2 linked regions of the Drosophila melanogaster genome follow. The protein of the gene in region 1 interacts with the protein of each later gene in a pairwise test. Each region holds a gene or a part of one and is shown on either strand. Other genes may lie near its edges.

Region 1 (3,497 bases):
AGGGTCTGGTTGTGAAGATATCCGATTTTGGACTATCCAGAGACATTTACAGCTCAGATTATTATCGGTAAGACTTTGGATATACATATATATATCAAGATTGCAGCTACAAAGAGCAAACATTTTTGCTGGTTTTTATTGCAGAGTTCAGTCAAAGTCGCTATTGCCTGTAAGGTGGATGCCCTCGGAATCGATATTGTATGGAAAGTTTACGACCGAGAGCGATGTTTGGTCCTTTGGAGTCGTTCTTTGGGAAATATACAGCTATGGAATGCAGGCAAGTATCTTAAACTTGATTTAAATGCGCAATATCTAATTCCAATGCTATCCCTTTAGCCATACTACGGTTTTAGCAATCAGGAAGTAATCAATCTCATCCGTTCACGGCAACTGCTCTCCGCTCCGGAAAACTGTCCCACTGCTGTCTACTCGCTAATGATCGAGTGCTGGCATGAGCAGTCAGTAAAACGTCCAACATTCACAGATATTTCGAACCGTCTCAAAACTTGGCACGAGGGCCACTTTAAGGCCAGTAATCCAGAAATGTAAACATAAGATTTTACACATACATATGTATTTTCAACGAAATGGACTGTAAAATAAGTAGGTTTAAGAATTTAATAAAACGAATGATATCGAAAACCCGAAGAGTGTTGAGATGTTTTGGGAAAGAACCAATTGATTTTCGATTAAATTACCTTTTTTGTAACTTTATTAAGTGAGATTTGTTCGTAATAACCATATGGTATTTAAATGTTTTGTTGTGCCAATCGGAAAATTCTTTTATCCAGTAGCAATGCCCAGGGCAACGCCACCGAAAAATGATGCCAAAAATATGTGCAGATCGTTGACTTTTGGACCCTCTTCATCGCCAATCAGTTTGGTGTACCATTTCGCCACTTTCTTGCCGTTTCGGGTTAGGAGGCTTTCAGCTCTGTCTAATTGATTGTCGACATATCTTTCGGTCTGCAAATTGAGTTCAGCATAAATATAGTAAGCATATAGATAAACGGTTTAAATGAATTATACCTTATCCTTCCAGTTCTTCTCACGACCCAGCGAGGCTTCCACTTTATCGGCGAGCTTATCCACGCTCTTATCCAACTTAGACCAATTTATTTTTATAAGTCCTTCTTGGTGGGCGATTTCGAGCAAGATTATGCTGCCGCCAACTGCAAAGGCAGCAAATTTGCCTATTTTCATTGTCGTATATCCTGTGACCCTGAAAAAATTGTTATATTTTTAGTAAGATAAGATACACAAATTCCAGCAAATTCTATGGATTTCCTTAAATTTGCAACTCATCATTTGGCGCATATACATGTATAGTAAATTGCCGAGTTATCTAGCTTATCTTGTGCAAATTATATCAGTTTTATCTGATTAATAACTCATTTTATTACACTATTTAGTTCTTTTCCTTTTTAGGGAGGTCCTATATTTCTGTATCCCGCAAACAAACAACATTCATTTATACACGTATTTAGAAGTACATATTTGCAATAGATGGAGCGGCTAAGCATTCAGTTGTATATTTTAATTAAAAACGTATTCTGCAGTTATCTACCAGCTATTACCGAAAGTATGCAAAAAATCAATTTACTTCAAATTCCAAAGACAATCGGCATTGCTAAAAATTTAAGTGATGCGCCGCAATGATATAACCACATACCATCCTGATGAAACGCCAATAAGCATCTGCGAATATGCTGAACGTTGGCCAATATCGTTAAAAACTTTCTTAAAAATTTCCGAATAATTAGTCATTTTTAAAATTAGATGTCGACGTTAAGATGCGAAATTCTGACCGCCCAGTTTACGTCAATTTAACACAATAATATATGCCCGTCAAGATAGCGTCAATTTGGACAACATTTTTGTGTTGGGTTTATTGGAACTCGGAAGTGGAACATATGTTAGGGGAATTATGGGAAAAAGAGTAAGAAAAATAACTGGTAGCACTTAACGTAGAAACTGGAATAATCATACTTTGAATATTTATTATTAATCTGATAATTACCTTTGTGAATCCTGTATGCTTTGCACAACAATTGGCAAATTTCAAGAACCTCTTATTATTTATTTATCTTAGCTATTGCCTCATTTGAAACTATTAGTTAAATTCCAATAAAATATGAGATATCCATTTAATCGCTGCACTTTTCGTGTCGAAAACTAGTTTCGAGATCAAAACTATAAATTTAAGTATTTTTTTCTAAACGTCAATTATTTCTCCCCCCTTACTTTAGACAAAAACCCAAAGTTCGAATGAAATCTACAATACAAAATGTACATGAGTTTATTTAAAATAATTGTTAAAACTACTTAAATAAATATCATACAGTATATTTACAAATTCGAATAGATTAGCCAATTACTTAGCAATTTTAATTACTTTGCTAAATCACCAAGAATTATAAGTCCGTAATAAGCATTGATTACAGGTATGTTGATTCACCTGGAAATAAAGAAAAATATTCATTTATTAGTTTAGATTTTTTTGCTCAAACAAGCTTAATGAATTTATTAACTAAAACTCAACGAGAATACGATAAAAATCAAAATAGCATGAATGAATTAAAAGCAGAAGACTTTTGATGATGATGAAACACACAAAAGACACATTCTGCTTCAGGATATTTAGTTTTCAACAGCAACAGTGAAATAGTCGAATTAGTCGAAGTTCGACAGTTCGGTGCTAGTTTTGTTAAATGAATTGAGTAGAAGGACAATGGCAGTGCCCAGAGTCACATACTTATGAAGCGGTGAGGGATGTGTGATGAAAATCGATGCGGATACTGATTAAGGATTGCCGGTTAGTTGACCATTCGAGCCGCAGGCATGGGCTCCCACTCACTCACCTATGTACATTAAATTCTAAACAGATGTGCAGAGCGCAGCTGTAATCGATCGTTTCCCCGTGAAAGGAAGTGGATCTGTGTAAGCCTGTCTCTGCTAGTATACTCGTAAAAGTCTTGGGGACATATAAATCCAGTTCTGGTGGCTTCGTTTTATACATCAAAATTAAGAGATCGTTCAGCCAGAAGTCTTTTAAATCGTCTCGGGTGATTATTCTGGCGAATTCAATAAGTCAATAAGAATATAAATGTGTGGACGATAGCATATGTCGATAAAGGCTATCTCTTTTAACAAATCTTAATTTGAATACTCATACAATACAATTAATTACAAAATCAAACCGATAATGGTCCAGAAATCAATTGAATCGAAACTCTTAGTATTAAATAAATGTGAAATTAGAACAATTGTTCGGTATTACTCGATTAAAACGGATAGATTTTTAGTGAGATCTGGTCATTGAGAGTATAGTGTGCAGCAAACTCACCGGATTCCCAATCTTCCTCGCCATCTTCGGTACCACAGTTGAATTTTGGAGAGGATTGTTTACATGTGATGTATGAATTGTAATTGATGTTCTTATTTTCGTTTATACTTCGAGTGTCAGAGGTGATATGAACTTCACTATTCTGCCATTT
Region 2 (3,188 bases), on another chromosome or scaffold:
GAAGTACAACCTCGGTGACTACAAGTGGAAGACGTTCACCGAGGCGGAGCGCACGGCGGCTAATTTCGGGCGCGGTCTGCGAGAACTTGGCCAGAAACCACGCGAGAACATTGTCATCTTTGCCGAAACGCGAGCCGAATGGATGATAGCTGCCCACGGATGCTTTAAGCAGGCTATGCCCATTGTCACTGTCTATGCTACGCTGGGCGATGATGGAGTTGCTCATTGTGAGTAAATTGGCTTACCATGTGTATGGTTTTTAAATAATATTTTGCTCTGTTGCCAGGCATCACCGAAACGGAAGTCACCACGGTTATCACCTCCCATGATCTGCTGCCCAAGTTTAAGACGCTGCTCGACAAATGCCCATTGGTGAAGACTATTATCTATATTGAGGATCAGCTGCAAAAGACAGAAACCACTGGCTTCAAGGAGGGCGTCAAGATCTTGCCGTTTAACCAAGTTGTCAAGACAGGACAGGACAGTAAATTTGGTACGTTTTGAAAGGGTCTTAAAAGATGATTTATTTATGTCAATTACACGATAAATTTGCTAAAATGCATCGTGTTTCACACCGAAAATGGTGTGGGCTCGACGTGTTCACCATCGGCGTTATCCTCAGGCGCCCGAGCCGTTGCCATCGATGTGGATGCAACCGGCTTCTGCGCATCATTATCATCCACAACATTGCTCATCCTTTCGAGGTTATCAATGTCATCTCTTTCGGTTGATCTGTTTTCACTATCAGAGCCTTGTGCTAATTCTGCTTCCGGCAAGTGGTTGCAATAGCGCCATCTAATCGAGACAGAATGTGTTGATGGGTCATCCAGTGTTTTAATCTACAACTCTCACCTCATGTCAGTACTGGAAAAACCGACGGGTTGCAACAGAATCGGCTTCGTTTGTTCTACATATTCGTTCACAAGACTGGAACCAGGTCCTATGATCAAATCTTCCTCCTTAGCCTCAAGGGTAACTCCTTCGGTTATCTTTTCCTCGTCTCTTTCTTGCTTAGAGGAATATGTGCGATACGCCCGAAAGATGAGAACGCCGCAGTATACGCCAAATAGTGTAAAAAATACGGAGCAGCTTCTCGGCTTTCCTGATGTTGAGCCTAGTAAAGCATTGCATTGTTGCACACAAGTCAAGGGCGTTAGGGTGATGAATTCCTCTAGGACTTCAGCCATTTCGAATGGTGTCTGAACTAAAAAATCACCCTACACAATTTGGAAAGAGTTCTTTCTGTTTACCGAAAGTATGCGCTTTTAATTCAGCACTGAAATGTTGACAGCATATGTATAGCGTGCTATGCGCAAGGAATTTGTTAAATATTAAACTAGTACTAATTGACTTTATTTTGTATCCCACAGAGCACGTTCCACCCAAGGGAGATGACATTGCCATTATCATGTACACTTCCGGATCCACTGGCACACCTAAGGGTGTCCTCCTCTCGCACAAGAACTGCATTGCGACAATGAAGGGATTTGTTGATATGGTGCCTATCTATCCGGATGATGTACTGATCGGATTCCTGCCCCTGGCTCACGTTTTTGAATTGGTTGCGGAAAGTGTGTGTCTCATGACTGGCGTTCCAATTGGCTACTCGACCCCCTTGACTCTGATCGACACTAGCAGCAAGATCAAACGCGGGTGCAAGGGCGATGCCACCGTCCTGAAGCCCACCTGCATGACTTCGGTGCCGCTGATATTGGATCGCATTTCCAAGGGTATTAACGACAAGGTTAACTCTGGCTCGGCGTTCAAGAAATCACTCTTCAAATTCCTTTACCAGTACAAAGTCAAGTGGGTGCAGAGGGGGTACAAGACGCCGCTGATTGATAAGTAAGAACGGTGTGCTCATAAATATCATGAGTTGCTAACTAAAACTATTATTTTTCTTGCAGACTGGTGTTCAAGAAGGTGGCAAAGCTAATGGGTGGCAAAGTGCGCATTATCATGTCTGGCGGAGCGCCTCTGTCAGCAGATACACATGAGCAGATCAAGACCTGCTTGTGCTTGGAGCTGATTCAGGGCTATGGCCTTACGGAAACTACGTCTGGAGCCACTGTCATGGACTGTAAGTGATCGCAGATCGACCTTTCTTTTGAAAACAAGTAAATAACTTTATACCCAATACAAGACCGTGATATGACCTATGGACGCACTGGAGGACCATTAACTGTCTGCGACATCCGTCTAGTCAACTGGGAAGAAGGCAACTACCGCGTCACAAATAAACCTTATCCCCAGGGTGAGGTTCTCATTGGTGGCGAGTGTGTCTCCCAGGGATACTACAAGTTGCCCGGCAAGACCAACGAGGATTTCTTTGAGGAGGATGGACAGAGATGGTTTAAAACCGGCGACATTGGCGAAATACAAGCTGATGGCGTACTTAAGATTATTGGTAAGTTATTTAGCACAGTGCTTTTTCTTTCATTTTTTTTATTATAATACGCTTTTTGCAGATCGTAAGAAGGATCTGGTTAAGCTGCAGGCCGGCGAGTATGTTTCCCTTGGCAAAGTTGAATCTGAGCTTAAGACTTGCGGAATCATCGAGAACATTTGCGTATACGGAGATCCGACAAAGCAGTACACAGTGGCGCTGGTCGTTCCCAACCAAAACCATTTGGAGGAGCTGGCACAGAAACATGGCCTGGGTGATAAGTCCTTTGAGGAGCTGTGCTCATCACCGATCATAGAGAAGGCTATTCTCAAGGAAATTGCTGAGCATGCGCGGAAATGTAAGCTACGATGCAGATTTGAGTATTTTTCAAAGTTTTTAATGGCAAATTGTTTAATCTTAAAGGTAAATTGCAAAAATATGAGGTTCCCGCCGCCATCACACTTTGTAAGGAGGTCTGGTCTCCGGACATGGGGCTGGTAACCGCCGCCTTCAAGCTGAAGCGCAAGGATATCCAGGACAGATATCAGCATGATATTAACCGCATGTACGCCTCATGAAAGTCAATGTACTAAGCCAGAGGTACCAGATGCAGCAACGACAACAACACGCAAACATTAAAGCAGCAGCAATGAAGCTAGTGTGTACTAATTGTTTTTAGTAGCACCCCACACAGCATAAGCATGCATACGAAATCCAAAACCAAACTAGCTTAAGTCCTAAAAGATCTAAATGCCGAGCAGTACATGCAGGAACCGATTAGCCACATTGCGCATGTAAAGAC

What was found.
Region 2: the proteins of CG5676 (region 1) and CG30355 interact in a two-hybrid assay, tested with the Drosophila melanogaster proteins (one large-scale study listed by BioGRID).

Annotation. Positions count from the first base shown.
Region 1 is NT_033779.5:10,254,049-10,257,545, forward strand, and holds CG5676 (uncharacterized protein), read right to left. Parts: upstream 1,844-3,497; 5' UTR 1,768-1,843; coding exon 1,673-1,767; intron 1,223-1,672; coding exon 1,030-1,222; intron 967-1,029; coding exon 784-966; 3' UTR 562-783; downstream 1-561. Other genes in the region: Ror, read left to right, coding at 1-67, 145-277, 337-549; Pten (phosphatase and tensin homolog), read right to left, coding at 2,439-2,458, 3,347-3,497.
Region 2 is NT_033778.4:8,678,642-8,681,829, forward strand, and holds CG30355 (uncharacterized protein), read right to left. Parts: upstream 1,313-3,188; 5' UTR 1,188-1,312; coding exon 853-1,187; intron 796-852; coding exon 570-795; 3' UTR 505-569; downstream 1-504. Other genes in the region: Acsl (Acyl-CoA synthetase long-chain), read left to right, coding at 1-227, 287-493, 1,371-1,845, 1,908-2,080, 2,144-2,407, 2,469-2,744, 2,810-2,964.